4 linked regions of the Pelodiscus sinensis genome follow. The protein of the gene in region 1 binds, or shares a complex with, the protein of each later gene. Links are inferred from orthologs where the notes say so. Each region holds a gene or a part of one and is shown in the gene's direction. Other genes may lie near its edges.

Region 1 (8,000 bases):
AGGGCTTGGGGCTTCCCTCCCCCACTGCAGATGCCGTTTTAAGGCTGGCCCCTAGTGAGGCCAAGAGCCCCGTGTCCAGGGAGAGCGCCCCGCTTTGGCCTGGCCCCGTGCTGTCTGAACACTGCTCACGGGTCTTCCCGGCAGCCGGCCCCGCCCCGTACCAGCCCCGGCTTCCTCTTTCTCCGCAGAGCGGCCAGAGGTCCCCTTGCGCAGCAGCTCGGTGGAACCAGGGCCTGCAGGCGGCTCCCAGCTGTGGGTTTGGCCGGGGCTGGTGTGAGAAGGAAGCCCAGGGCTGGAGGAGACCTCAGGCAGCATTGGCGCCAGCCCCCTGCCCAAAGCAGGACCAACCCCAGCTCCATCAGCCCAGCCGGGGCTGTGTCCAGCTGGGACTTAAACACCTCTAGGGGTGGAGATTCCAGCCCCTCCCTAGGGAACCCAGCCCAGCGCTTCCCCACCCGCCTAGGGAAAGAGTTTTTCCTAATCTCCAACCTAGACTCCCCCATTGCAACTTGAGCCCATTGCTCCTTGTTCTGCCCCCACTGAGAACAGCCTCTCTCCAGCCTCTTTGGAACCCCCTTCCGGGCATTGCAGGCTGCTCTCAAATCCCCCCTCATGCTTCTCTCCTGCAGACTGAACAAACCCAAATCCCTCAGCCTCTCCTCTTAGGTCATGTGCTCCAGCCCCCTTATTATTTTGGTTGCCCTCCGCTGGACCCTCTCCAGTGCATCCACATCCTTTCTATAGTGGGGGGCCCAGAACTGGACACAATACTCCAGATGTGGCCTCACCAGTACAGAATAAAGGGGAATAATCGCTTCTGTGGATCTGCTGTCAATGCTCCTACTAATGCACCCCAATATGCCATTAGCCTTCTTGGCTACAAGGGCGCCCTGTTGACTCATCTCCAGCTTCTCATCCACTGTAACCCCAGGTCCTTTTCGGCTGAACTGCTACTTAGCCAGTCGGTCCCCAGCCTGTAACAAGGCTTGGGATTCTTCCGTCCCAAGTGCAGGACTCTACACTTGTCCTTGTTCAACCTCATCAGATTTCTTTTGGCCTAAGCCTCCAATGTGTGTAGGACACTGTGGCCCTCATCTCTGCCCTCCAGTGTCTCTACCTCTCCCCCAGCTTAGTATCACCTGCAAACATGCTGAGGGTGCAATGCATCCCCTCCTCCAGGTCATTAATGCAGATGTTGAACAAAAGCAGACCTAGAACAGATCCTTGGGGCACTCCGCTAGAAACCGACCGCCAATCTGACATCGAGCCATTGGTCATTACCCGCTGGGTCCGACAAGCTTGCCAGCTTTCCAGCCACCTCTTGCCTGTTCCTCATCACTTTCCTCTCTTCGCAGTGCTTCCAAGCTTGTGTGATGCAAGCTGTCCCTGGGCACCCCGGGGTTACAGCCAGAGAGGAGGGCTGGGGAGCAGGGGCAGGCTGGTGCCCAGGGGCAGACCCTTGACCTGCCCTCCCTTGGACAGCAGGATGCTCAGAGGGTGTCTCAATTTCCCCATGCACAAGGCACTTGGTCAGCTGTTTAGTGCTGGCTGCAGCCTCTGCTGTACTCACAGCACTAGCGCTGGGGTCCTAACAGCCCTCTTCCCTCTAACTGGCTTTATTCCTCCACAGCCAGGCCCAGGTCCTCAGCTGCTGGATGATCCCGGCCTGCATCTGCTGGGAGCGGATGGGCTTCCCCGTCCCAGTGCCTGAGCAGCCGCCCGGCAGACGTGGAACGAGACGCTTCTGGGAGCGGGGAACCTGGGCCGGGGCTACGCTGGTTCCGTGGCTGGCACGCACGAGAGGCGTTCGGGGCTTGGCCATGGGGAGTTGGGGATTGTGGGGGAAGAGTAATGGGCTGACCAAAGCCCCCTCGCAGAATGTATGCAGCTGGGCCAGTGCCAGCCTCCAGCGCTACCCACAGTGCCTTTGCCCACGGGCCAGGGCCTCTCCCGGCTCTGGTCTGCCAACCGAGGAGGGCAGGCGCTATGAGGCGACGTCTCTGCTAGGAAGAGGACTGCGACTCGCCAGCATTGGCTGGGAACAGCTCCATGATGCTGGCGGCCCTTGGCTTGCCTGGGGTGGCCTGATGTGGGCTGACCTAGAGATGAAAGGCTCTTTCTTACCTGTCCCTTACCCAGCTGGCGCTGCATTCCTGTCTCTTCTCTCCTCCCCCCTGCTACTCTGGTTTTTAAAAATCCAGCACTAGCAGTCTGTTTGAAAAGCCCAGCTTCCTGATTGGTTTGAAGTGTAAATGCCCATGAATGGAACTCTCTGGACCGACACGCGTCTGGTCGTTTGTGACATTACATCCTGCCCTACTTCCCTCTGATTTGCTACAGGGCCGCACAACCCCCACAGGTAGGGGCTGGGAAGAGGGTGTCGTTCCTGAAGAGGCTGGAATGAGGCAGGTGAAATTCCTGCATCCCATGACCGGCACTAACCATGCACATAGGACTGGGGAGTTACTTCAGCAAACATCAGGAGTCAAGCCCCCAGGTGTTCGGCAAATTCCAGATATTCTTTGCCTACCTCCCATTCCCATATGCAGCTCCATGGTGCGGAGTGATTTGTCACTTCCCCAATTAAAGTACCTCCCTCTTCCTATTGGAAGGGTGGTGCTGTGCAACAGCTGCAGTGTTCCGCCCCAGAGGCAGCTGCATTTCAGAGGTGTGATCGCTAGTGCAAATCCAGCCCCTAGTGCATGTGAAATGGAAGGCCTGTAGTATCCAGCAGTGCGAGTGGCTTTATGCAGCATCTTTTCCTGATGTCCCACCCAACCATCCTGCAGTTACTTGCACCTGAATAGCAGCTTCTCTCTGGTGGGACACACTGGTGGTAGCTGGGCTGTTGCCAGTGCTTGCTTACTCAGGGTGAGTGTGGCTACAGGCTGCCTGGTTGGCTGAGTATTTTTTTAAGCCTAGAGCTCATTTAATGTCTTGGCTGCTGCAGTCCCTTCCCACCCAGCTGTTCCCACTAGGGCCTGGTTTGATCCTGAAAGCCCCAGTCTGGGGGAAGTGCCAGAGGGAAGGTTACTATGGCAATAGTGCTGCCCGTTCAGGAGGGATGGGGAGCCATGGGGGTAAGGTGTGAGATGGGGGTCCAGCCCCCTCTTGGGTTGGAGGAAAAGCCTAAGGCAGGGGTCTCCAACCTCTTAAAGCAAGAGATCACTTATGAAATGTAAGTGCAACTCAAGGTCTACCAACCACTCTGGCCCCGCCTCCTTTATGCCCCTTCTCTGAAGCCCCGCCCCTACTCCATCCCCCCCCCCCCTTCACTTTCATCAGGCTGGGGCAGGCAATTAGGGTGCCGAAGGGGGTTCTAGGGGCAGGCTCTGGGCGTGCAAGGGTGCTCCGGGCCAGGGCAGGAGCTTAGGGTGCAGGAGGGGGTTCATGACTGGAGTAGAGTTTCAGGGTGTGGGCTTACCACAGGTGGCTCCTGGGCAGTGGTGCAGTGGGGCTAAGGCAGGGTCATCCCTGCCCTGGCCCTGCACCCCTCCCAAAGGTAGCCAGCAAACTCCCTCCATCCCAAACCCTGTAGTGCCCCTCTCTGCTCTGTGGAGACAGGATACAGGGTCGGAGAGGGGGCAACTTGACATCAGCACCCCTCTTCTCCCTCCGCTGCCCTGCATAGAAAGCAGGAGGCTCTCGGGGGTGCAGGTAGGAAGCTGCAAAGCAAAGAGCAGCTGTGCCACAGGCTTGGGGGTGGCGGGGGAGGGAGCTGAAGTGCTGAGCTCGACAATCTCTTGGCCAAACCTGTCAGAGGCGCCAAGCTCCATCAGTAGGTCCCGCTGTACTGGTTGGTGGCCGCTGAGCTAAGGGGTGGGCCCCGGTTTGCAGGCCTAGGTGGGGGAGAGCTTGCTGGACCAGGAGGAAAGTGGGGGAGCTCGGAAGGGAGGAGGCAGGAAGCTGTTTGGGGGATAAGGCAAAGGGTGCACTGGGCCCTAGGGGGAGGGGAGATGGGTGCAGCCTGCTGCAGGCCAAGAACCCACAGCGGTGAGGTGAGGAAACTGATTGATTTCCTCACCAACTGATGGCAGCTGTCACCCCTTCAGCTGCGGTTGCCAAGCCCCAGGCAGGGGGAAAGCATTTCAGGCCAGGTTGGGCCGGGGAGCCTGCTGCCCCCACAGGGCCGGGCTCTGCTGCTGGCACACGGCCGCCGTCCTCTTGTTCTCCACCCTCTTTGGTAGCCCTGCCTTAGCAGGGGTGGCGGGCGAAGGCCCAGCTCGGGAAGGCAAGTCCCTGCCCTTTCAGCAGCCTTCCTCCCCCCACCGCTCCGTGCAGCCCAGCCCAACCGCACGGCTGAGCGGGATCGTTCCTGGCCAGCCAGAGGACTGGGGTTGCCAGGCTTGGCCCCAGTGGGGAGCATAGTCCGTTTGCCTTCCCTTGCCTATGCTACCCACCACCCCCGCTCTGCCCCTGCCATGCTGTGCGACTGGGGACAGGTCCTGATGGCTCGGTGCCTCAGTTTCCCCAGCTTTAACCTTGTTGAGAGCAAGGCCCTGCCACTCCAGGATCCTGTTCCCAGCCCTACCACTGATGCCAAGAGTCCCCGTGGCTCATCCAGGCTTAGCATTTTCGTAGCAGAAGGGACCCCCCCCCTCCGCTCAGCACCCCACAAGTGTCCTACAGCGGAGGGGTGACACCATAAGCCTGGCACTGACCCCTGCCCACGGTGTTCCTGCCTGACCCTGCGCAGGGTCCTCGGCAGGGCGGGAAGCCGCTGAGAAGCAGCCCAGCCAAGCACCCGCCTGACCCAGCCCTGCAGCTGCAGAGGAAGGAGCCTCCCTGACCCCGGCTCCTGGCTGGCAGCCGGAGGCCGCTGCGCTCCCGTGCCTCAGTTTCCCCGCGTGCCGGCTGAGCGCTGCCCCCGCCGGCGGGGAGGGGGAGGGGGCGGGCGGCGGAGCCGGCGGCGCCCCGGGCCCGCTGCCGCCGGGGGAGGGAGGTTCCGTGTGCGGCTCCCCGGCCCGGCCCCGAGAGCCCCGCCCGCCGCTGGGCGGCCCGCTGCCCCAGGGCGGGGCCAGCAGCGGGGCCGGGCCGGGCCGGGGCGCAGTGGGTCCCCGGGCTGCCGCTGGTGCAGCCAGAGCGCAGCCATGGGGCGCATCGAGTGGGCCATGTGGGCTAACGAGCAGGCGCTGGCGTCCGGGCTCAGTGAGTGGGGCGGGGAAGAAGGAAGGGGAGCAGGGGGAGAGGGTAGGGAGGGGAGCTGAGGAGGAAGGGGGGTAGGGAGGGGAGCTGGGGGAGGGGGGAGCAGGAGGATAGGAAGGGGAGCTGGGGGAGGGGGAGCAGGGGGTAGGAAGGGGAGCTGGGGGAGGGGGAGCAAGGGGGTAGGAAGGGGAGCTGAGGAGGAGGGAGGGGAGCTGGGGGTAGGAAGGGGAGCTGAGGAGGAGGGGGGAGCAGGAGGCTAGGAAGGGGAGCTGGGGGAGGGGGGTAGAAAGGGGAGCTGAGGAGGAGGAAGGGGACCTGGGGGTAGGGAGGGGAGCAGGGGTAGGGGGTAGGGAGGGGAGCTGAGGAGGAGGGAGGGGAGCTGGGGGAGGGGGGAGCAGGGGGGTGCTGGTGGACGAGGGCTGGCCTGGTAGGCGCTGGGGAGGGGGGTGCAGGGCTCAAGAGGAGGTTGGAAGTGGCTGCCTGCCTGTCCCAGGATCATTGGCACTGGGGGGCCAAGGGAAGGCTCCTCTCTGGGTCGTGGGGTCTGAGCAAAGCCCACCCCTCACAGGTCCCAAATTGCAAGATCCTCGCTGAAGACTCCCCACCCCCCGCCCGGGGGGCCTGGGCAGCAGGGGCCGCAGGGCAGCGCTGGCCATTCGGGCAGTGGTTGGGCCAGGGTTGAGGAAGTGAAAGACTGAAATGGGGAAGGAAACAGCGGGGCTGTTTTTCTCTGAGGCCTCTTGCTTAAGGAGGCGCTGCCATTGGCCTGATAGCATCTGGTAATAACAGGGCCACGAAAACTCCCACCGCAGGGTGGGTTCGCTGCTTGCGCCACCAGCTTCGCTTCTGTAGCGACACCGGAGTGCACGGGGCCCTGTTCACACCAGGGAGCTGTGCTGCTTTGTACCGTGCCGCCCCCCGTGCGAAGGCCGTTACCCCCGTCTAAAGCGCTTGCAACTAGGATCGTGCAGGAAGGGAAATAAATATCCGCACACAGGGCTGACAGCGTCCACGCGGCCTCCCCCAGGGACATAGCGACTCTGCAACAGGGAGCCAGGCCTCCGCTTGACCCACAGCTCTGCCGCTGGGAAGAGTTTGTGCAGGCGTCTCTTCTTCCAGAGAAGGAGCTAGGATCCCCCATGGATTTGTGACATGCAGGTCCCTCTCCCCCGCCCCAGCCATGACCTGGTTGCAAACTTTGCTTTAGCTGGCATCCAGCGAGGAAAATCTCTCGATTGTAGCCGGTTGTGTCGCTGGGACTCGCCGACGCTGGAATCAGGACACAGTGGGTGTTGCGGGGGCGGGGCTGGCGGGAAGAGAGGAATGAGATGGCAGGAAGGGAGCCTTTTGCTGCTTGTGACTGGGCGTTGGTACCGTCAGGTGACTGTCACCACCGGGTGACATGGTGACAGGGGGCAACCTGGAGTCTGCCGGAGTTCTAGGTGTGGCCCGTGAGACCTTTTGTTACCCATGCCTGTGCGCAGGGTTGCCAGATTCCACTGGTTTTCCATCCACAGTTGTTTTTTTCTACTTCTTTAGTCTGGCGCTCTCTGGTCCAGCAGCATCCGTGGTCCGGCATGACTTTAGTTGTCCACTTATCGTGGGTGTGGCCAAGTTTCCCGCGGTCCCATAAAGTTGGGCTGTGCTGTGATTTAGCTCTGATTTACCCCTCAGTGTCTTCTCAGAGCCCAGCAAGCAGTGGCAGGGCTGGTCATGCTGCCAGACAATACTGACCTCCTGGCAGACTCTCTGGTTCGGCACCTGTATTCTCTGGTTGGGACTAGGGAGGTTCCACCTGTATTACTAAAGTGACGCGCATGTAAAGCAAGGAGGTGTGAAGTGAGGTGTGCGCTGATTGGCTGTGCGCTCCCTCTGCGTCCAATCACAGCGCCGCTACGGTTCAGTCGGCACCGCCCACACGTTTTAGGTACGCCAGCGCAGGGAGTAAAACCGCCCTCGCCCGGGACACTGGGTTGGGTGCAACATCTTGCAGCGCCCTGAGATGGCGGATGCTGCTTGTGCGGCTGGCTCGCTAGCCTGGGTGGCCCATCGCTGCATTGCGGCCTAGTTCCTATGGACAGCTGGTCGTCTCCGAATCCACCCTCAGCCTGGCCCCCTTGCTGGCAGTGAGGGTTCAGACTGGTAGCCCGAAATACTGTCCCTTGGGCGTGAAATTCGGGGCCTACTGAAGTCGTTGGCAAAACTCCTGCTGGCTTGGATGGCTCTGGGCTATTGGCGGCGGGCGGAACGGCAGGCGTGTCGTCTGGCCATAGCAGTGTGTCTGAACAACAAGGGGGTGCCATGCGCTAGCCCCCCCGGTACATTCTGCGGCACCTCCCTCATGCTGCGGCCACGCTGCTATTTTCACTGAGCTGGCTCCCTCTAAGCTAGCCACCGCCGCCCACTGTGGGACGCTCCCCCATTGCAGGGTGGACCTACCCTGGCTCTCCTGCCAGCTCTGCAATGGGGACGCGCGCAGAGCGAGGGAGCTGGGGAGAAACAGGCCAGCACCTGCCGGAAGCGCAAACCCGCAAATGGCCGGTTTATAAACGGGAATGTGCAACGCTGTAAGCAAAACGCGCAGCTGCTGGCAAGTCCTATGCCCGTGCCCAAGCGTTAGCAATCGCCCGCCTGGATCGGGGTGGGTCCGGCAGGTCTGGGAACCTGTCCCAACGCCAGCGGCTTTTGGCCAGACGCAAGGCATGGATGGACCAGGCTGTCTGGTGAGAAGGCTCCTCCATCCATCACGTAGCATCCGACCTGTGGCCCGAGGCAGGCGCGGTCGTAGCACTTGGAACCCTTACCCGTGCCAGCTGGGGAGCTGCCTAATTAGTGATTGGCGCCTAATTAGTGTG
Region 2 (7,949 bases), on another chromosome or scaffold:
CCGCCTCCCATGGGTCACTAAGCTGTGGAGATAATAAAGCAAGGCCTTGATGAGCCTGTCCACATTCCTTCCTCTTCCTTTTAGCTTCTTCCTCAAACTCTGTGAGAGGAACAAGACGTGTACCTCACTCACATACAGGGCAGCAAACCCTGGCCAAGAGCACCCCGTGGTGGCTAGAGAAAGGCAGAAGGCAAAGCACAGCTGGCTGACGATACTAGGTTGTAAGCCTTTTTCGCCTGTGGGCCTCCAAACTCCAGGCAACTGTGTTAGTAGGTCTCCAGACAGTGGATGCCACCAGTTTCTCCTAGTTGAGTGTTGGCCTGTCTTAACACTGCAGTGCTTGACTTTGCAACCTTAATGGTCTTCTAGCAGATTTTTCAGGATGTAATATGCTAAGTTTTTTCAACATTTAAAAGCCAATAATTTCATCCCATGGAACTGCATTGGCTTCCGTCCCCACCACCTGCTCTGTCATCAGCAGGGCTGGGATCTTTAGCTCCACAGCCCAGTCCTCCACCCCTGGAATTAATGGCAGCAGCAACAGGCAGTTGTCTTCTCTGTGGACCTGCCACCAGAGGGGGATGGAGACACCTACTTTGTCACAGGGTTTCACAGCTGTTTGCTAGACCAGAGCAGGATGCTGAAACTCTAGACTCCAGGGTTCTGTTGAACTTTCCTGTTCTGCAGAGGAGTGTGCTGGTTGCTTTCCATATTTTCTATTCTTTTGCATATTGGGATGGATAGCAGTGTGGCCAAAACGTGGCCTGTGAATGGTATATGGCAATTTTACCATTAAAATGTGGCTTGTGGAGCCTCACACGCCCAACCCCATTCTCCACCTACCAGACTTAGGGTACGTTTACACAGCAACACTATTCCAAAATAACTTAGCCTATGTCTACACAGAAGGCGGTTATTTCGAAGTAGTGTCAAAATACTGTCAAGCTACAGGACTTCTTACTCCGACTTCTGTAACCCTTATTGTACGAGGAGTAAGGGAAGTAGGAGGAAGAGTGCTCTATGGCGGAATAAGTGATGTGTAGACACTCTCTATTTCGAAATAAGATACACAATTAATGTAGCTCAATTTGCGTAGTTTATTTCGCAGTAAGCCCTGAAATGTAGATGCATCCATTGGGTGTGTCTACTCAACAATGTTATTTCGGAATAACAGCTGTTATTCCAAAATAACTATGTGAGCGTCTACACAGCAATTCCATTATTCCAACTTCTGTAAACCTCATTCTATGAAGAATAACACCTATTTTGAAATAAGGTATGTGAAGATCGGGTATGTCTACACACAATTTTTATTTCAGGAGAAGGATGCAAATAGCTCTGCGTATTTGCAAACTTCCTCCGGGTTTTTTTTCGGAAGATGCTCTTCCGGTATTTACCCATGTCTACATGCGTCCAGATTTCAAAATAAACCCCTATTTTGAAAGACCCCTGTAAAGCTCATTGTAGGAGGAATAAGGGATCTTTTGAAATAGGATTTTATTTAGAAATAGGAGTTTATTTAGAAATTTAGACACATGTAGACGCGGTTAAATACTGGAAGAACGTCTTCCAAAAAAAAGAAAAAACCCTGGAGAAAGTATGCAAATGCGCAATGCTATTTGCACCCTTCTCCCAAAATAAAAATTGTGTGTAGATATACCTGATGCTCCACTTCTGTTATTTCGAAATAGCCCCTCACCAGAGCCACTCTAAGTTATTCCTCCTAGGGCTCTAAATTGAGAGAACACGTCTATATTAGGGAAGCCTGCCTCGGACTAATTTTGAGGCTTCCCTGCAGTGTAGACATGTTATTTTGAAATAAGCTATTTTGTAATAACTATTCTGGAGTAGCTTATTCCAAAATAACTGTGCAGTGTAGACGTAGACATAGTAATTTAGTTGGAGTCGGTCCTGGTTTTGGTAGGGGGCCGGACTTGATGACCTCTTGAGGTCTCTTCCAGCCCTAGGATTCTATGAGACTGGGATGTGGGGAGCTAGGGGCTTCTGCCTTATGGGGAAAGTGGTCTTGGGCCTTCCGCTCTGCAGGAGACACCTGCTGGGGCTTCAGCAGGACTGTGGCTGAAACTGCAAGCCCTGCAGGCCTGTAGCCCCACGCACTGGCTGGCGTGTCCCACAGACACTACTAGCCCTGAGCCCCAGCTGGTGCACCCAGCTCTCACACTTCTGAAGATTTTTGTATGCAGCTAAGAGGTCAGTAAGTTTGGCCAACCCTGTTATATAGCTAGTGAACTGCTATCTCCTTCTCTATTTGGTTTGTTATATTTTCTCTGAATGGCTCATAGCCTGGCCATCCATGGCATGTGCGTGTTTCCCAGATTAAGCTGCTTTCCCCTTTTGTTATATAACCACATCCCTACCAGCCAGCTGAGGGTCCCATGGTTAAGAAGAATGCGGGCTGATTGGGTGGAAGGGAGGCCATCTGCTCAGGAGTGCAAGGCAAATTGGCTGGAAGGAGTCTGTAATGATCTGTGTGTGCTTGCATTTATGCTGTTCTGCCACTAGATGTCTCTGTGGATTGCATAAAGTTCCAGGCAGGGGGTGATCCCTGAAAACCAAGGAGACAAAGCTGGGACTCAAGCTGTGCGGAAGCCTGGTTGTCCTATAGTTGTAACTGACTTGTTTAATAATGTCACCTGTTTAAGATGGACTGATACTCCATATGGTATGAAACCAGCCAAGGAGGCCCTTCAATCCCACAGTGACAGGCAAAATATAAGAACGTAACTGGGACACATAGATCTTCCTTTAGGGAGGGGTTGTCAAACTGTGGGTCAGGATCACATTTTAATGGGGCTGACAAGGCTGGCTTAGACTGGCTGGGCCCCACGGCTGAAGCAGAAGCCCTTAGGCTTTGGCTCCCCATGTGGAGTGGTGAGACTTGGGCAAGCTCAGGCTTTCATCTCTGCTCTGGGGGTTGTGCAGTAATTTTTGTTGTTAGAAGGAGGTTGCAGTGCAATGAAGTTTGAGAGCCCCTAGTGTAGGGGAAAGGAGATGAATAGGACTTTTCAGGCTGGGGCACCTCTTCTTCCTCCATCAAGGGCTGTGCCTGCTGGTCCCCTACTTGTATATCTGAACATATATGGCTACATCTACACAGCTTCCCTCTTCTGCAAAAGCCTATGCAAATGAATCGCAGATTAGCATATTGCTGTGCTTCATTTGCATAATTAATTAGGAGCCGTTTTTGCAGAAGAGGTTTTTGCGCAAGAGCCGTTCTTCCTCATTTTTTCAAGAAGAATGGCTCTTGCACAAGAGGGGGGTTTTGTGCAAAAAGGTGCTGTGTACATGGTGCCTTTTTGTGCAAAAACAGTGCCTAATTAATTATGCAAATGAAGAGGGGCAATATGCTAATCTATGCTTCATTTGCATAAGCTTTTGCAGAAGAGGGAAGCTGTATAGATGTAGCCTGTGTGTTGTTTCTTCACAGCACCAATCTGGGCAGGAGTGGAGAGCGGGGAAAGGTCTTCTAGAGGCAGAAGCCATGCAGAGGGAGAAGCAGAGTAGCAGCAGAGATAATGCTGCTTTCCTGATTCTAAGAAAGTTCCTTGTTCAGCTGTCTCTGAGTTTATTGCTCACACCTGACACCAGGAAGGCTGGGAGGCCCTGCAACAAATCAGTCAGGAGCCCACTCCTCTTCTGCACTCATAGCAGATTGCCCTGCCTAGGGAGTGCTCACTGCACCTGCCTGAAAGAAAGGGGGCTCTGGGGAAGCCGGAATGCAAAGGGGACCCCTCCCTTTGCAAAGATGAGTGAGTGTTGTCCCCTCCTTCTCCTCCTTAATGTAACCCCTGACTGGAAGCAGCACAGCACCCCCTGCTGCTCAAAGGGGGACAGAAGGTGTAGAAAAAATTGCTTAGGTCATCAGGACATGAAACTGGTTTTTAAACTGCAGGTGCATTAGGGCTGCCAGGTGTCTGGTTTGCAGCTGGGATGTATAGTTGAGAAGGGAACCTGGCAGCGTGCCGTCCGCAACTGGCCTCCACCACGGGAGAGGGGATATGGAAAAAGCAGCAGCTGCAGCCGGAGGCACATGGAGGCGCTGCTCTCTGCTCAGTAGCTGATGCCTGATAGAGAGCAGTGGCAGGCTTCCAGATCTGGCTCCAAGAAGTAGAGGAGGATCCGGTCTGCTCACCCCTCCCTCCCCCAACTGTTACTTGCATAAAATGTGGTCAGCCTCACACTCTAGGGACACCCACTCTTCTCTGTTTCTATGGCTCAAGAATTACCTTCCACTATAGGCACCCACCCTCAGCCTTCCATGGGCTCCGGCATAACCTAACACTCTGTGGGTTCGCAGGGTCTTTTATCCATGGAAGAGCCTCACACAGTACTATCCTATTTAACAGTCCTACAGTAAGACAGATCAACTTTTCCTGTTGGCCAAGCAGGATCAGGTCCGAAGCTCCCCCTAAGCAGCGCAGCTGTGCACTTTCTCGTTAAGCCCCACTCATATCCCACTATTTTAATGTAATTTGGGCGGAATGAGGATGCGACTTCCTGCGTCTTAGTTAATGGCTGCTGCTCTTTCCATCTGGCTGCAGATGAGGGCTGTAGGCTTTAGGCCTTACAACATGGCTACAGAAAAAGGCCTTGTTCTTACATTTACACTGCCCTGCTGTGCCCTCATTGCCCTGGCCCCTCACTATGGGGATGATCCCTGCTGAGCCCCAGGCAGGCTGCATTTTAGCTTCTCCCAATCTCACTCTGCGAGCAGCAGGTAAGTCCCAGAAGAGGTGGGACTGGGGTGGGGAGTGGAGAGTGAGTGGTAGAGGGAGGCGGAAGAGCAGTGAGCAGGGGCGGGGTCTCAGGAAGAGGAGGGGCGGGGCTTTAGGGAAAGAGGTGGGGCAAGCAATTAAAAAGTCGGCAGTCTTAACACTAGCACAGGCCCCGCCTTTTTTTAGCTGTAGCCTGAACTACTGGGTGGAGGGGGGACTGACGTGGAGGGTTAAGTAACATTCTATCTATCTTCCACTTCCTCCCTCCTCACAATCTGCTGCTTCCTTCACGCTAGGTTTGACATTACATTTGTACAGGTCTTTCCTCTGGTCACCTGAGAGCATTAAGTCTGCCTGACTTCTCCTGCCCCAGGAGCCATCCTCCTCCGTGAGGCCTGAGAAATGCAGGCCATCAAGTGTGTGGTGGTGGGAGATGGGTATGTACCTTCTTTTGTGGTGGAGGGGGGCAAGAAGGGGGAAGGTTGGTTCTTAGTGAAATGTCACCTTCTTTGCTTTCGATTTCCTCTGAACGGCTTTCCCTTTTTCTGTCAGGTAGGGTGTATGGGGGGAGGGGAGGGGGCAGCCTGTGATGGAGGTTGTGCATTATGTCGGGGTTGGGGAAGGGCACTTTTCAGAGCAGGTGGAAAAGAGCCGCTGAAAGACAACCTATGTGGCTATTCTCCCCTAGATGAAGGTGCCCCCTTTACAGTGTCTCCTCCTCTGCGGCTATTGATGGTGGAAGGGGAGCCAGGTTTAAAATAAGGTGGGGGAGACTAGTTTCCCTTCTACTGGGCCACACCACACATGACTGGGGAGGGCACCGACACATGGTGGCAGTGGTGAATGGAGAGCGCTGTGGGTCCCCTCCTGTGGATCTGAGTTCCCATGCCTTCTCTAAGGGGGGGGGGGGTCCAAGGGGGCACTCCGGGGAATTTCCATGGATACAGCAGCAAGATGTTCCTTTCCCTTTTGCCGCTGAGGGGCACAATGTGCTCCGTCTGCCTGGGCTGTGCGAGGCGATGAAACCCAGGCAGCTGAGCATAGCATAATCACCTGATTTATCCACTGCTTGGGCAGCATGTATGTGGCCTTGCCAAGGCCTTCAAGAGCAGCAGCTTCCTCAGGGCAGTACCCAGAGGGCTGCTGCCCCTGGGCAGGGAAACAAGCATCCAGGGCCCAGGAGAGTGTCTGTGAGACCGGAGTCACGTCTGGCGCTCAGAGTGAAGCCAGTTTCAGGCGGGGAGCTGTTTTGATGATGTTATCTGGGGCAGATGAAGTGACATTGTTAGAGGCCCTGCACCCCACAGTCACTTCCTCCTTCCCACTGGCCACAGGAGGAAGTTTGCAGACAAGTGATTAAATTTTAGAAACCACCTCGGAGGCGGAGGCAGGGGCAGGCAGCAAGGGTGGAGGAAGGGCAGAGAACTACAGTACAAAGAAAACCCCAAACAAATATTGCTATGGGTCAGGAAAGTACCATAAAGATCAGAAACTAAGGATTATGGAGCTGTACCTGAAACAACTCGCACAGGAAACACCCTGGGACTAACCCCACAACTGCCCCCACCTCCTGTCCCTTAACCCTGCTAACCTCCAACACAACAGCAGTATTCTTCCCCAAAGCTCTACCAGCCCAGAGCCCCCTCCAAAACTGCTATCCCCATAAACTCACCATAGCTCAATGGCTGTATCCCCGTAATCAGTCCCCAGCACAATCACCCGTAACTCTCCTTCAGAACTGCTAATTCCATCACTTCCTCCACTACTGGCACTCTGCTAACCTCAGAGCCTCCCCCACACCTCTGCTTTCCCTCCCCTCTGGAGAGCCTCACTGGCCCTATAAACCTCCCATCCCTTTCTGCTGAGAGGCTGGAGCCAGGCATACAGTGATGGAGAGTGTGGGAGAGATTGAGGAAAGGGAGAAGAGAAAGGTAGCAAAAGTAGAAAGGAGGAAATGTACGGGAGAGGCACAAGAGGCACTCCAATTCCTCCTGAGTCTGCACAATGCAGCAATGGGGGCTGTAACCCTGTGACTCATGCCTGCTCTCTCTTGCCCTCCAGGCCACCTTGCAGGGGCAAACACTAGGGCTGGGTAGAAAGTCTTAGAAAGATTTTGTCGATGAAATTGGCATATGCTAAGCAGTGACTCACGTATCCTGTGTGGAGAGAGCAAGCCAGCCTTCCTCCCTTACCTAATAACCAGATCTGATTTCTCATCAGCTTCTTGCAGGACTTCATGGTGCTGCCTCCCACCAGATCAGTATTGTTATCTCCATTTTACTGATGGGGAAACAGAGGCAGGATAAGATTGAATGACTTGCCCTACATCCCTTTAGCTTTCCTTGTTTGTCTTGGCTGTGATTCCTGGTCCTCTCTTTTTTCCTTCATAGTTGGTTCCCTGGCTCTCCACTATATATGGTTGGAAACTTTTCCATGAAACTTTTTTTTTTTTGGACAGAAAATGTCAATGCATTGAGATGGTGTCTCGGGTCCACAATGAAATTTCTGGAGAACATGCCTTGGAGCACTCAGTTTGACTGTGGGGGACACAGGTTTAAATCCCTGCTCTCCTGGCATTTCTTTGTAGTGCCTTTGGCCTGGTCTCTCACACACTAGTTAGTGTCTTCTTCTCGTGATTAGAATGTGTTCCTGTTCTGCCCACCATGGTCCACTGAAAGCTGGGTGGTGGTGGTGCTAGTCACTTCGGAGTGTTTGTCTGCACAGCAAAGAAAAACCTGCTTGCTGTGGGGCTGTTTCATTGCTGTTTAGATAGCTGGAGCCCAGGCTCTGGATTCTGCCACTCTGAAGGATTGTAGAGTCTGGCTCCAGCCTAAGCCCGGAAGCCTACCTAGCAATGAAACAGCCCGACTCAGTGAGCCTGGCATGGGCCAACCACAGGTGTCTAGTTGCTGTGGTGACATACCCTGACATACAGGAAGTCAGAGTAGATGATCTGGTGGCTTTTCTGACCTTAAACCTTATGACTCTGTGAGATGTGCAGAGAAGGAGGGTGAAGAGAACTTTGACTGTCAGGAGCAGCCTCACTGCAGGCAGCCTGGCTCGGAAGTGCCATTTCAGCTGGAAGGAGTGTGTGGTGACTATGAGGCTATGTCTACGCTGCTGGCTTTTGCCGGCAGAGGGTATGCTAATGAAGCGCTCATTAGCAGTGGTTGCACTGTCATTTGCATATTCTCTGCCGATGCTTTTTGCGCA
Region 3 (7,345 bases), on another chromosome or scaffold:
AAAATTCGACACTCTCCAAAAAGGAATGAACAAACACTCGAACTATCTTACCCATTACCAAGATAGCTTCCCCAATTATCACCTCTAATACCATTAACTCACAAACATCCCACTCTCCCCACCTCTAATATCATCAATTCACAGACACTTACCTTCCTTCCTTCTTCCCCCCCCCCCCCCCCGCATCTCCCTCCTGTTCTGAAATGTGATTTGTCCTTTTCATGTGTGTTCATTTTTTTAAATTGTATCCTTTGGTATATATGGTTGTGACTATTTTCTTCCACTATTTGATCTGAGGAAGTGGGTCTGGCCCACGAAAGCTCATCACCTAATAAACCATCTTGTTAGTCTTTAAAGTGCTACATTGTCCTGCATTTTGCTTCTCCTACACTCCTGTGAGTCTACGATCATCCCTAGCAGATAAAACTCATGGCACACAAAGCGCTTAGCGGAAGGTTTCAGTGTCACTGCTCTGCATCCCTCCCCCCTTACCAGTCTGAAAGGTAAAACTACTCAGCTATTGTGTATTGCACTGTGTACACAGAAAACAGCTGCATTCTAGCCCCAGAAGTGGCTGCATTTCAGGAAGGCCACTGTAGCCTACGCTGTCTCACAGGGGTGCTGTGAAGGCTAGGCTACGTCTACACTGGCATGATTTTCTGAAAATGCTTTTAACCGAAAAGTTTTCCGTTAAAAGCATTTTCGGAAAAGCACGTCTAGATTGGCAGGACGCTTTTCCGCAAAAGCACTTTTTGCGGAAAAGCGTCCGTGCCAATCTAGACGCGGTTTTCCGCAAAAAAGCCCCGATCGCCATTTTCGCGATCGGGGCTTTTTTGCAGAAAACAATACTATGCTGTCTACACTGGCCCTTTTGCGCAAAAGTCTTTCGGAAAAAGACTTTTGCCCGAACGGGAGCAACATAGTATTTCCGGAAAAGCACTGATGATTTTACAGGAGATCGTCAGTGCTTTTGCGGAAATTCAAGCGGCCAGTGTAGACAGCTGGCAAGTTTTTCCGCAAAATCGTGTGATTTTGCGGAAAAACTTGCCAGTCTAGACACAGCCCCAGTGTTTGTAGTGGATTTTAGGAAGCAAGATGTTAGCAAATGGAAGTGCCAGGTTTTCTTGAAGTTTACCACCTCATAGAATGAAACAATTACATCAAATCAATTATGTCAAGCAGGTACCACGAGGAAGACACCCGCTCCAGCACTGAAAGTCGAGATGAATACCTACCTGCTGGGGTTGGTCGTTTGCTTAGTTTTTGTTTTAATAGAGGGAAAATGGATGCACTAGGCCAGGCATGGCCAACCCGCAGCTCGCGAGCTGCATGCAGCTCTTCCCCCCCGAAAGTGCTGCTCACGAAGCCGCCCCTGCACCCCTGAAAATGGCCCCCGGCTCCCTGTGCTCTCTGGAGAAGGAAGCCATCGTTCCCTGTGCTCTCTGGATCAGGGGAGCCGTCCAGCATGGCCATTCAAAATGGCATCTTCAAGATGGCGGTGGCCAGTGGGAGCCTTTAAATGCGTTTCTTAAGGGGGCAGTCCTTTTTTTTTCCCCCCAACAACTTGGGGGGAGGGGTGTGGAGGGACTTCTTTTTTTTTTCTTTTCCTCAACTATTTTGCCCTGGCTCTTCGCGCTGTATCCACTGCTATTTTGGCTCTTTGTCCGGAATGGGTTGGCCACCCCTGCATGTACTGTACCTTTCAGATGCTCTCACCTTTCTGTCAGCTGATGTGGCATAAGAAAAGCTGCTGCTCTCATGGATAAAGCTCTGGTCCTTTGGAACGAAAGGTCTTTGTCTCTCGTATTGATTTTATTTCTATTACCGTGGCAGCCAGCAGCGCCAGCTGAGCGCAGGGCCCCAGGCACTAGCAGAGCTAACCACCTACACAAACTGACGGGAGGGGAAGCTGGCAGACAGAAGTGAGGTGAAGCAACTTGACCAGCGTCACAGGGCCCAATAACAAGCTGCTTTGCATGGCGAGCCAGAAGATGGAAGGAACAGTCAGGAGGAAGTAAGCAGCAGCTTCGCTGCCGCTGAGCATTTAAATGTCTATTTTAAACACATTTTAAATGACTCCTGCACAAAAGGCGACCACGGGCCCCACAGAGAAGAGTTTCCACACTCACACGGAGTTTGTTTTCCCACCCCGTTCCTTCGATGCCTCTTCACCCGTGCAAAGGCGCTTTTCCGGAAGCAGGAGATCATAGTCCCCAAGCTGTGCCTGAGTAGATGCTGATGGTGCTGAGCTTGTTACCTAAGAGCCAGAGAGAGAGAGAGAGAGCTTGAGATGCTCTGTATTGTATTTCTGATTACAAATGAGTCACCGTTTCTCAGGAATACAGATTCCCCCGCCACCCACGCAAAAGCAGAAATCAGACAAAAGAATTTCTGACAGGTTTATCCAGGGCTGCATGAGAGTTACTTAGGATGTAGCCACGGTGCTGGAGTTTTAACAACAGTTGCGTTCCCCGATCTCACACTATTTTAGGAAGGAAGGTGAATATAAATATCCCTATTTTAAACATGGGGAAACTCAGGCAGAAAGGGGCAGTCATTTGCCCAAGAATACAGGGCTCCAGTGCCAAGGAAAGTAAGTGGCAGATCTGGGAACAGAGCACAGGTTGCTGGACACCCAGGTTAATATTCTCTGCACTGGTCTGTGCTGCCTCCTGTCAGGTCAATTTAGTGCTCGGAAAAAGGGTCAAATTCACAGCTTTTGAGGACCAAAATCCTCTGCAGGCTGGTTCTTATCTTGTGATGGAAACTGTAGGCCCAAACAGAGCTGGGCCCTGAGCCAGGAAGAATGCAAGGCACAGAAAAGAGAGGAAACGGTTCTTCTCACAGAGAAAGGAGTTGCCGGAGGTTGAACAAAGCCCTCAAAAGATCCAGCCTGTGCTGCTCGTGACAGATAGGGTGGCCAGGTGCACGGTTTTGAACCGGACAGTCTGGTATTTGAGGGTTCTGTCCAGGAAACAAATTGAGAAAATACCGGACGTATAAACTGTCTGGTATTTTCTAATTCGGTACGTTTGATTATTATTAGGCGTATCAGTGTGTAGTTGAGAACTGCCTGGCTGTAGACACGTTCACGCTGCGTGAGTATGTCTACCAGCCAGGCAGTACGAAACTACACGAGGGGGGCGCGGGGCCAGGACGGGAGGGAATCCCCGGGGCCAGACTTGCTCGTACTTCACCGGGACCATGCGCGGGATGGGCAGCGCCCTGGGATCTGCGTGCAACCGGATCAGTCCCGCTCCCTGCTGGCCAATTCTCTCCCCACACTTCCTCCCCGGCCAGCCCCACTCTCCCCACTCCCCTCCCAGCCAGCCCTGCTGGTCCGCCCCTCCTCTGATCTCCCCTGCTTCCCGCCGGCTGGTTCTCCCCCCAATCCTCCTGCACTCCCCTGGCCAGCTCCACTCTCCCTGACCCCCTCCCGGCCAGCCCTACTTCCTCCCCTCTCCGGTCTCCCCCGGCCAGCCCCACTGCCCCCAACCCCGCCAGCCCTGCTTCCCGCTGGCTGGTTCTCCACCTCCTCCCAGCCAGCCTCACTCCCCTCCTGGCCGGTCCCCCTCCCCAATCTGAGATGAAGTGTGTCCGGTATTTTTTTTGGAAGCCACCTGGTAACCCTAGTGACAGAACAAGTGCACTTGAAGCACAGGCCAAAGGAGCGATGGAGTCATGATACTGTGAAAAACCAGCATTAAAGCAGGACAAGAGCAGGAGTTTTAGCATTTTCATTTCTGGGGAGAAGCTGTTGCAGGCTGAGTTCAGCCAAAGTGACAGGCCTGGTCCCACAATTGCTGCAAACACACCTTGGCATTTCAGCCTTGTTTTAAGTCACCTCAGCCTGCTAGATGGGTTGCACTTCCCCTCCCACACCTGGAGGGCAGTGAAGAGGATGCACCCAGCACCAGAGGGCGGCTAGGTGCTGCCCTGGGGAAGCCGTGGGGACATTTCAGGCTGCCTTTCAAGGGGCCCTGGCATTGATGCTCCGATTCCTCCAGGCTGCATTGTCAGTGCGCTGTGACTCAGCCACGACTTCAGGGTCACACTCACTATGACAAGCACAACCCCCCAAGTCACAACCACCCTCTGACAGATGTGCATGACTTCAGCTGAAGATCCCTGCAAAGCAAAGTCGAAAGCAGTGGGGGCGGCCGTGGCGAGGGGGAGAGTGTGTGTGTGTGTGGGGGGGGGGGGGGTAGTTAGAGTGACACACCAAGAATACGTTTAGGAAATAATTCACCCTGGCCAGCATCTGCTCCACTTCCCCATCACAGCAGGGCTGAGTCAGTAACTACCAGTGGGGACACTTCCTGGTTGGTTTGCGACACTGCGGGCTCCGGGGGAAACACAGAAGTACAAGTAAGAGCGGTGCAGAGGGGCAGGGGCAGGGGCAGGCTGTAGAGAGCAAAGCAGGGCTGCAGCAAGGGGAGGCCCGTCCTGACCCCATTGCTGCACCATGGCTCTGGCGGAGACCATCCGACTGTGGAACGAGGGAGTGTGCGCGGCTGACCGGAAGGACTGGGCAGCCGCGCAGGGTGCTTTCACCACAGTGCAGAACCCCCCTTCCAAACTCTGCTTTAACATTGGCTGCATCCACCTGACCCTGGGGAATTTGACTGAGGCAGAGGAGGTAAGAACCCCCCCTCCCTACCCACACACACACACACACACACACACACACTCCTCCTGTCACAGGCCCCTTCCACAGGCTGGTCTGACTGGTGCACCACAAAGCCCAGACGGCAGCTACCGCGCCCCTGACACGCCGAGGGACTGAGGCGGGTGGCTGGCCCCTGGGACGACTTGCAGACAAGCAGGTGCAGCCCCTGGCTTGTGCTGTCGCCTGACGGGCAGCAGGGCCCTCGGCACGACCCCGAGGGGCTGGCGGCAAACTGGCCAGACCGTGTGCAGCGCGGGCGGGGGGGTGCAGGAGAGGGGGCATTCAGTGCCCATTCAGCTACTGCTGGCCTGAGAGTGCATGGGCCTGGTTAGGAAGAGAGGGAGCCGACAATGCCTCCATTTGCCCAGTTCATGCCTTCCGCTCGGCTCAAATTCAGCTGACACATGGGACCCAGCAAGAGCCGGGCAGAAAATGGTTTTCTTGATTCAGAGCAGGGACTTGCTCCCAGCTGTCCAGGCCCCAGCGAGTGCCTTGGGCACCAGGCTATTGGCTGCCCTAGAGCAATGGGGGGTCGGGGAGAGAAATTCCAACGTGGGCCTAGGCGGCCTTTCCAGTTTCCCACTCAGCTCTAGTCTCCACTTGGGGCATCAGAAACACTGGTCAGGGGAAACCCAGCAGGCATGTAACGGAGGGGCAGGCAGGATGTGTGGGGGGGTTCCCCTTGTCTCCCCTCTCTCCATGTTCCCCTTTCTTCTTCACGCTGCCCTCGTGGCTCCCCTCAGCACTGGGAGGGTCTCCCCTCAGCACGTTCCACTGCTCTGCATGGGCACAGGCTCCACCCTGACCTCCCCGTCAGTGTCCAGGTCTCCTCCTGCCTCTCTCGGCCAGTCTGCCTGTGCCAGGTCTGAACCACCTTCTGCTCTCTGCAGGCGTTTTCCAGGAGCATTCACTGCGACAAGCACTTGGCCGTGGCCTATTTCCAGCGGGGGACCGTGTATTACAGGAGAGAAAAGTGAGTGTTTGGCAATCTCCGGTGGGAGGGGGGGGGGGGGTGTCGTGCTGCTTCTAGACAGAGCCATTTCTGGTTCCCGGCTGGCTGAGAGCAGCCATTTGGCAAGGCCGTCCTGTTGTGCTGCCAAAGCTGAGTAACTAGAGCTAGGACTCACCTCCCAAGAGAAGCAGGTTCTCTTAGAGGCGGAGGCCTAGTGGGTGGCGAGTGGGGATGGGAACCTGGGGAATACCCCAGTGCCTTTAAAGACACCCCCAAAAACAAAGACGATGAGCTGGCTAAAGCCTGCAGGGCAGGGCCTGTCTGGCACATTGTACAGCCGCCTAGCGCAGCGACGATGCTGCTCACCCTGGTTGTGGGTTTGGAAAGAGCCTGGATGGAAGGGAGAGGGGGACAGACTTCCAAGCTGGCAAGCAGGCTGGCAAACCGCCATGGACACAGTCACACCAAAAATATCTGACAGCTGAGTCCCTCGAGGCAGAGAACCACTCCAGCTGGCCCCAGGAGTTGGGTAATGGTAAACGGCCATCAGTACTCCACGGGCTGGCGGGGGTCGTCTCCCAGCAACTCAGGCTAGAGCCGGGCTCTGAGGGCGTGAAAGATGGCAGGCAGCCCAGAGCCGTGCCCTGAGAGTTTGCACCTTTCTTTGCTCTACAGCTACAAACTGGCCATTGAGGACTTCAAAGAGGCACTGGCCCAGCTGCGAGGGAACCAGCTGATAGACTACAAGATCCTGGGGCTGCAGTTCCGGCTGTTTGCTTGTGAGGTGAGGGCGTGCAGGGGCTGAGAGTCCCTGAGACAAGCAAGGGCAGCTGGGAAGCGCAGGAGGGGAGGGAATGGGGTTGGAAGCTAACCCAGCATCACTCAGCCAGTGGGTGCCACACACAAGGGGTCACCAGGGGACACAAAGCACAGTGGTAGTGAAAGCAGCAGAATCCCAGGACTCTAGGTACCCATCCCCCATGGGTGGTTGGCAGGTCAAAAAGGGGTTGAGAGAGCCCCTCGCGATAGCCAGTGAGGGCTGGCTGTGGGCACTCAGATCTGGGGAGAGAAGCGGAAGAGCTCTCTGCGGCCTGGTCTTTTCTCTCTCTCAGTCCGGGACGGGTCCCACCACCACCATGAGCCTCCCCCGAGACATCAGCCTCTGTACCCAGATTAGTAGGGGCCTACCAAAATCATGGCTGGGAAACATTCATCATGGGCCATGAAATCTGATCTCCCTCGTGAAATCTGGCTCTGTAGGGGGGACCCCAGAGCTGGGCAGTTGGAGAGCAGCAGCTGCTGATCAATAGCCACAGCCATCCAATCCACAGGACAGTTCGGGATGACCACCCCAGCCCCAAGCTTTGGCCCACAGTGGTTACCCCAACTGTCCTATGGATGGGATGGTCCCCCACATGGACACTAGCCTGAAGGTGGCCTAGGGCGAGCAACAGGGGTCAAGCCCCCCCCCCCCACTCGCGGAAGTGGGGCGATGCAGCCAACAGCCTGCTCTGCTCCATCTCCATCTTGCAGCCATGTGGGTCACTTCACCACGGCGGCAGGAAGCAGAGCCCCCCGCCTGCTCCCCCAGAAGCCCTGTGTCGCTTGAGGGAGCGGGCAGAGGCTGGGGCGCGCTGCTTCCTGCTCCACAGAAGAGCGGAGCAACCTGGCGGGGAGGTGGTGGTGGAGCAGAGCCGGCTGCTGGTTGCGTTGCTCCGTTTCCT
Region 4 (7,778 bases), on another chromosome or scaffold:
CTGGAGACGGTCCCCAGCAGACCAGGGGCACTGCGAGCAAAGCCGCAGCGGCGGCGGGTCCCGTGCCAGAGCAAAGCCTCAGAGGCGCGGCACCCCGCTGCGGCTTTGCTCCCCGTGTCCCTGGTCTGCTGGGGGGGGGGGCGCAGCTAGTGTGCCCCCCCCCCCCCCCCCAGCAGACCAGGCTTTTGTTGTGGACCCTGGGGCAGAGCAGCTGGGGCGCTGCCGGTTGGTCCCGCAGTGCCGCTCTGGGCACTACTGGACCAACCCGGCAGCACCCCAGCTGCTCTGCCCCAGGCGTCCTGATTCAGCCGCTGCTGGTCAGTTTCAGCAGCGGCTGAATCCGGACGCCTGGGGCAGAGCAGCTGGGGTGCTGCTGGGTTGCTCCAGTAGCGCCGAGGAACGGCGCTACTGGAGCAACCCAGCAGCACCCCAGCTGCTCTGCCCCAGGTGTCCCCAAGTCAGCCGTTGCTGAAACTGACCAGCAGCGGCTGAATCAGCAGCTGATCAGTTTCAGCAGCAGCTGACTTGGGGTTCTTAAGCTGAATCTGTATGTAAGTCAGAACTGGCGGTCAGTTTCAGCAGCGGCTGAATCTGGACGCCAGTTCCGACTTACATACAGATTCAACTTAAGAACAAACCTACAGTCCCTATCTTGTATGTAACCCGGGGACTGCCTGTATTTCAAAATACAGGCTGTCTTTGATATAAGTCCAAGATATATTCCAAAAAACTTGGACTTATAAATAACTTAAAACGGATTTTTTTCCCCTATGGCTGACTTACATTTGCAGAAAAAAAATGTACGCGACTTAAGAGCAGGGAATTGGAGGACTTATAATGCATCAGTTCCTACAAGTGTCAATGACTTTAGTGCAGAACAAATGTATACTGGAGCAACTTACAGTGGAGATGCCTTGTAACTACAGGCAGTCCCCGGGTTACGTACAAGATAGGGACTGTAGGTTTGTTCTTAAGTTGAATTTGTATGTAAGTCGGAACTGGCGTCCAGATTCAGCCGCTGTTGAAACTGACCAGCAGCGGCTGAACTGGACATGCCTGGGGCAGAGCAGCTGGGGTGCTGCTGGGTTGGTCCCACAGCGCCGCTGCTCGGCGCTACTGGACCAAACCGGCAGCACCCCAGCTGCTCTATCCCAGGCGTCGGCGAGTAAAGCCTGGTCTGCTGGGGGTGGGGTGCACTAGCTGCGCCCCCCCCCCAGCAGACCAGGGAGACGCGGGGTGGCTTTTCTCGCCGCGGAGGACGTGGGCGGCGGGACCACAGTGCGTCTCGGCGGTCCCGTCACCCACGTCCTCCGTGGCAAGAAAAGCCGCTCTGCATCTTCCTGGTCCGCTGGGGGGGGGGGGCGCTAGCTCCGCGTCTCCCTGGTCTGCTGGGGGGAAGCGCCCCCCGCGCCGCCAGAGGCGGCGACAGTGGGGGAGGCACCCCGCACTAGCGCGGCCCCCCCCGGTTTGTAACTAGGGGTCCGACGTAAGTTGGACCGACGTAACCCGAGGACTGCCTGTATTCCCCAGAATAATTCAAAGTTATTACCCCCCAGTGCTTCTAAGTTGAGGTAGCATGTCCACAATAATGGAGCCTGCCTCAGACTAATTTTGAGGCTCCCCCACAGCAAGGATGTGCTATTTTGACTTTGTTATTTTGGGAATTATTACTTTGAATTTAGTTATTTCAAAATAATTTCCTAGTGTAGACATGCCCTTAATGGCCTGGTCAGTGCTGCTGACCGGAGCCACCAGGATCCCTTTTTTACTGTTGTTCCAGTTGAAAATCAGATACATGGCAACTCTACTTCCTTTAGCCTGTTATCTGATCCTGAGGTTTGGAGCATATTGTCAGTCTCTGGGTGTGTCTAGACTACATGCCTCTGCCGACAGAGGCATGTAAATTAGACATACCAACATAGTCAATGAAGCAGGGATTTAAATAGCCCCCACTTCATTAGAATAAAAATGGCCACCTGCTCAGCTGTTTGTCGGCACAAAGCAGCAGTCTAGACGGGGTTGGTTGGCAAAGGCTTTCCTTGCTGACCGATCCCCGTCTTGACTGCCGCTTTGTGCCGACAAACAGCTGAGCTGGCACAACGCGGTGGCCATTTTTATTCTAATGAAGCGGGGGATATTTAAATCCCCACTTCATTGACTATGTCAGTATGTTTAATTTATAGGCATGTAGTCTAGTCATACCCTGTGAATCTAACCCTTCAGTCTGTCCCCTTGGCCCATCGCTCACTTTTCTGATCCTCAGGACAAAAAACTTGTCTAAAAAGACCAGTATAAATTTACAGCACTGTATTATTTATTTCTATGTTTGAAAATCTTGTTTGTATTTTATAAAACATAGAATTGCAAGAATAAAGTAAATAACAGGGGTATAGAGATAGTACAGTTTGTTAACAATCCCTAAAGTACCTAAAGGAATATATATATAAAAAAACAACTGTAAGCAACTGCCTTGTACAGTATTCATAGGATACTTAGCTTAAGGGAGAAATTCAGCTATAATTTCAAATGCATCACTTTACAAATACATGTTAAAAAGATGGAATGGATCTGTGGTTTTCTATTATATATGGAAACCATCCAAAACTGAATTATTATTTTAATATCTTAAGTTATATATATGTCTAAAACTTTTCTGGTATAAATATTTGAATACACAGTTAAATAATTTAACTATTTATAGAGGTATTTATAGATGTAAGGCACATTGAAAAGAAGATGTGGTTAAAGATGTGGTTTCGGTTGCCTTCTAACAGGACATGAGAACATCGTATTTTAATTTTATATATATATATATATATATATATATATGTTTTAAAAATTATATTTTAAATAGAGAGGTGAGGTAAAATATTTTTAAATACATAAATAAATAAATAAATTAAATTAAATTAAATTATAATGGCTATACTAGGTCAGCTCACTGTCCATCTAGCCCCATATCCTGTCTTCCACCATTGGCTAATGCCAGGTGCCCCAGAGGGAATGAACAGAACAGGTAGTCATCAAATGATTCATCCACTCTCACCCATTCCCAGCTTCTGGCAAACAGAGGTTAGGGACACTATCCCTGCCCATCTTGGATAATAGCCATTGATGGACCTATCCTCCATGAATTTATCTATCTCTTTTTTGAACTCTGTTATAGTCTTGGCCTTCACAAAATCCTCTGGCAAAGAGTTCCACAGGTTGACTGAATGGTGTGTGAAGTACTTCCTTTTGTTTTAAAACAACAAGAAGTCCTGTGGTACCTTAGAGACTAACAAATAAGTTATATCATGAGCTTTCGTGGTTGTCATGACATAATATATTTGTTAATCTCTAAGTTGCCACAGGACTGCTTGCTGTTTTTAAAGATTAACACAGTTACTCCTCTGAGACATTTTTCCTTTTCTTCAGACTCGCTACCTATTCATTTCATTTGGTGACCTTTAGCTTTTGTATTATGGGATGGAATAAATAACTCTTTTAATTCACTTTTTCCACACCAGTCATATTTTATAGATCATGTCCCTCCTCCCCCCATCATCTCTTTTTCAAGCTGAAAAGTCCCAGTCTTATTAATCACTCTTTCATATGGCAGCTGTTCCATGCCCCTAATAATTTTTGTTGCCCTTGTCTGAACTGAACTTGTAACAGATGTTTAAAAGGAGAAAAAGGTAATGTGATAAGGTCTCTGGTGCTGACTTTGTGGCTTTATGTTGTAGTATGACACGTCCATGTCACACCCTAATGTCACCAGGTTGCATTTTGTTCCTGAGGTACCAATGAGATATCTTGAGGCTCAGTGTTAAAGGGACTCCCCGAGGGCCTCCCTGACAGGTAGGCACCATGGTGACTTATAGCCCTACATCAGGCTATGACACCATCTCTCGACAGCCCGAGGGAAGCGGGATTAGGGTTTGAGTGGGATGGCCTCACGCTGAGGTACGACGCCCTGCCTCTGACGTGGTGACTTTAGCAGGACCCCGTGTCACAGGACGGATTGATACCAATGGTCACACTAAGTCTCCCTCTGCCCATAAGGAGGCTGAGACTTAGGAGGAGAGGCTGAGGGAGTCGGGTCTGTTTAGTCTGCAGAAGAGAAGAGTGAGGGGGGATTTGATAGCAGCCTTCAACTTCCTGAAGGGAGGTTCCAAAGAGGCTGGAGAAAGGCTGTTCACAGTAACGGATGCAGAATGGAGCAATGGTCTCAAGTTGCAGTGGGAGAGGTCCAGGTTAGATATTAGGAAAAACTGTTTCACTAGGAGGGTGGTGAAACACTGGAATGGGTTCCCTAGGGAAGTGGTGGAGTCTCCATCCCTAGAGGTGTTTACGTCTCGGCTTGACAAAGCCCTGGCCGGGTTGATTGAGTCGGGATTGGTCCTGCCTTGGGCAGGGGGCTGGACTGATGCCCCCCTGAGGTCTCTTCCAGCCCTATGGTTCTATGATTCTATAAGGACAAGAACAGGAGCGAGAGGCCAGTTCATCACCCCCTCCCCCCCCCCCCAGGTTCCCGGACTAGGTTAGTAGCACAAGTATGGACACCCCCCAGCCTGAGGTAACGGACACGGAGCCGAGCCCCTTTCACGTCCGAACAGTGCCGAAGATGACCGAAGCCAAGCCCAGCCCGCTGTGAGTCACGTGTTGCCGAACGTTAACGAAGTCGCGGCTGTCGCGGGGAACGAGAGCCCGAGCTTTTCCGAACGGCTCCGAAGCCGCCTGGCCGGCCGGGCGGGGCAGTTGGGGGGGGGCTGAGCACAGCGAGGCCGGATGTGAGCGGGGCGGTCGCTTCCTGTTTCCCTGCAGCACTCCGCTCTCCCCGCTTTGGGTGGTGGCCGCTGCCTCGTCCCCGCTTCCAGGCGCTGAGGGCGGAGGCGGCCAGACGCTGGTGCAGACACGCGGGCCCCTCGCCTCACGGACCTTCCCAGCCAGGTAGAAGCAGGAGGCGCGGAGACCCGGCCCCGCAGCAGCCCCGATGCAGGCCATCAAGTGTGTGGTGGTGGGAGACGGGTAAGTTCGGCCGGCTGCTGCTTCTCCCCGGGTGGGACCCGACCACACCCGCCTTCCCGCTCCGCGAGGGGCTGCCCCAGTTTCTCTGAAGTCCCCTCGCATCCAGTGGCCGGGGCGGGCCTCTCGTCTGGGCTCCGTCCCCCGCCGTCCGTGGGTGGCCGGATGGGCCTCTCTCTTCTCCCCGGGGATATGTTCCCCTTCCTCCGTGGGGTGTCGGGGCGGGCCTCTCTTCCCCCGGGGTATGTTCTCACTTTCCTCGGGTGGCCGAAGCGGGCCTCCCCAGGCGTCCGTCCCCCGCGTGGGGTGGCTGGGCGGGACACTCCCTCTCTCTCTCTCCCTGGGTGGCCCGGCTCCACTATTGTTTCTCCCCCCGTCACACACAGAAAACAAACTTTTCACCCACAGCTACAACACCATTCCTCAGGGCTCCCTGTTGGGGACGGGCAGCGCGTATAGGGTCCTCTGAAGTAGGCGCTGTTATAAATAACTGCAACAAATGGATTAATCCCCACCCTGGTACTGGAGGACATTGATATTAAGTGCTTCTCCCATCCCCAATTGTGTGAGAGTGTGGGTGGGGTGCTCTGCCGGAGTGTAGGCAGCAGCAAGTTATTTCAGGGCTGTGGAGCCATGTGGTGAGATTTGTATTGCAGTTGCTGTAGAAGCAGAGCCACCAGGGAAGGGGATCTGTGGAGGGTTGGTGGTTCTTCTATTCCTATTGGCAAATGGGGAGCGGTGGAAGAAATGGGTACGGCGATGGCTTCGTTATTGCTAAGAAACATAAGGGTGTTGGTGATTGGTGGATGCCCTAGAGCTCTTGTTTTATGTGGTGAATGGACAGGTATCTCAAATGTGGATGGTAAGTGATGACTTGTTGCTTAGTTTTCATGCTTACAAAACTAGTGTCTTTCTGTGTACATGAGGATATGTACTCCTTTTATATGCTGGCAAAGAGATAGTTAACTTCCCCAAGTTATTGTAGCTATCCACTTTGCTGACTGGTTCAAAACTGCAATTGGTTTAGTAGTGGACACAATTGTTTCCCCTGATACCTAATTATATTTGTGATGTTTAATTCAAACAGTTCTTTCCTACTTTGAAGTTATATAGTAAAGGTACTGTTGAAGTAACTGAACATAAAACTTACCCTTTTATCTCTCTCCTTTAGAAAGACTTCATTAGAGTAGTGATAAACATGGGTAGGGTTAGTCGGTGTTTTGATAGATCTGTGTCTTTATTGTTAAAGATTAAAATGTAGATTACAAATTCAGTGTAAATTGCCATCTCTGCAGGGCAAGGACTGTATCTTACTATGTTAGTAAAGTAGGAGCCTGTAGGTATTTATTCTAATGCAAAAACCTCTCAAACTGTCATGTTTTAATCGTCTGTAAAGAACTATGTGCATCTCTAGTGCTTTTGCATTCCCTGCTATAATTGAAGTAACTTTTAGTTATTTGTAATGGAATTGAGCCTGAGTTTATGCATAACTGCTGGATTCCTTTGTAAAGAACATGTTAGAAGGCGTGTGTGTGTTTAGGTACTTTGATATTTTAGTACTCCATGATAAAATAGGCTTAGTAAAGGGAAGCTCTTCCCCCTATTTTGGAATATTTTTTTCTTACTAGGTATCAGAGCTCTCAGAGCATCACAGGCCAGCTGGAAAACAAGACTCGTTTTATGCAGTTTCATTTTTTTTCCTTGGGAAACAAACATTCCAGTGTAATCTAAGCATAATTGGGCATCACAGCAACCCAGTGTAGATAGATTGAGGAGTGTAAGTACAGCTAGAAGAAATCACCGTCAGCCCCATGTAATTTAGTGTTGTTTTCATCATATTACTTTGCAATGAATAGTCTTCATTAATATTTAATTATTTGTTAAACTTATTTTAAACAATGTTGAATTTCAAAATTCATGTGAGATACCTGGCTTGCTCTTACTGCTTATGGTACGCAAGAATGATGTTCTGACAGACTTTATTAGTGCTGCAATTAATTGATGCTGGCTTTCACTTATCTTAAATTGCTATAATGAAAGAGTAAAATAACTTTAATTTTTAAATTAACATCTTAGTTCTTTGCCTATATTTACTTTATTAAAATGAATATCTTGTCTGCATTAAATGTTCTGAAAGAATGAAGTCTGTCTGGTTTCAAAATAAGAATAAGATAAATTCATGAAGGATTGGTCTATAAATTGCTTAGCCAAGATGGTCAGTGTGCAACTGCATTTTGCATACCTTTTTTCTGGGTTTTTTTTGGGGGGGGGGAGAGAGGCTTTTCCAAAATTTGGCCTGTTTACACTGGGCCAAATTTCAGAAAATCCCCCTTTTTCAGAAGATCCCTTCTTCGTCCTAAAATGAGGAAGAGAGGGCTCCCAAAAGATCGTGTTTGCTCTTCTGCAAAAAAAAAATAAAAAAATAAAAAAAAATGAAGGCGCGAATGCGTTCTCTGGATGTAGCAGAAGTATCCTGGAAAAACCCCGCAGTCTAGATGTACCCTCACCCTACCACTGCCAGAAGACAGGAATGTATCACTCCAGAACTTCTCCATTCCGTACATGCTTTCTGAAGCTCTGGTCCTGGCCACTGTTGGAGGTAGGATACAAGTCTAGATGGACCATTGGTCTGATCAAGTACATCAGCTATTATGTTGTTGTTTTTAGAGGAAACAGGTGTAACAAACTATACACACATTCTTCGTAATAATTTACACACTAACCATAACAATACTTTCAAAATTTGTGGTTTTGTATAAGAGGTCATTTAT

The links.
Region 2: CYBA (region 1) and RAC2 share a complex: the UniProt entries of both Homo sapiens proteins name them as parts of the phagocyte NADPH oxidase complex. The link is inferred for Pelodiscus sinensis from reciprocal best matches to the Homo sapiens genes CYBA and RAC2.
Region 3: CYBA (region 1) and NCF2 share a complex: the UniProt entries of both Homo sapiens proteins name them as parts of the phagocyte NADPH oxidase complex. The link is inferred for Pelodiscus sinensis from reciprocal best matches to the Homo sapiens genes CYBA and NCF2.
Region 4: CYBA (region 1) and RAC1 share a complex: the UniProt entries of both Homo sapiens proteins name them as parts of the phagocyte NADPH oxidase complex. The link is inferred for Pelodiscus sinensis from reciprocal best matches to the Homo sapiens genes CYBA and RAC1.

The regions. Positions count from the first base shown.
Region 1 is NC_134722.1:3,823,937-3,831,936, forward strand, and holds the start of CYBA (cytochrome b-245 light chain), read left to right. Parts: upstream 1-4,987; 5' UTR 4,988-5,090; coding exon 5,091-5,148; intron 5,149-8,000. Other genes in the region: MVD (diphosphomevalonate decarboxylase), read left to right, coding at 1,631-1,711. UniProt on the Homo sapiens protein: Subunit of NADPH oxidase complexes that is required for the NADPH oxidase activity that generates, in various cell types, superoxide from molecular oxygen utilizing NADPH as an electron donor.
Region 2 is NC_134711.1:92,837,730-92,845,678, forward strand, and holds the start of RAC2 (ras-related C3 botulinum toxin substrate 2), read left to right. Parts: upstream 1-4,938; 5' UTR 4,939-5,138; coding exon 5,139-5,173; intron 5,174-7,949. UniProt on the Homo sapiens protein: Plasma membrane-associated small GTPase which cycles between an active GTP-bound and inactive GDP-bound state.
Region 3 is NC_134719.1:57,237,616-57,244,960, forward strand, and holds the start of NCF2 (neutrophil cytosol factor 2), read left to right. Parts: upstream 1-4,335; 5' UTR 4,336-4,465; coding exon 4,466-4,639; intron 4,640-5,559; coding exon 5,560-5,642; intron 5,643-6,296; coding exon 6,297-6,405; intron 6,406-7,345. UniProt on the Homo sapiens protein: Subunit of the phagocyte NADPH oxidase complex that mediates the transfer of electrons from cytosolic NADPH to O2 to produce the superoxide anion (O2(-)).
Region 4 is NC_134726.1:23,058,032-23,065,809, reverse strand, and holds the start of RAC1 (ras-related C3 botulinum toxin substrate 1), read left to right. Parts: upstream 1-4,768; 5' UTR 4,769-4,975; coding exon 4,976-5,010; intron 5,011-7,778. UniProt on the Homo sapiens protein: Plasma membrane-associated small GTPase which cycles between active GTP-bound and inactive GDP-bound states.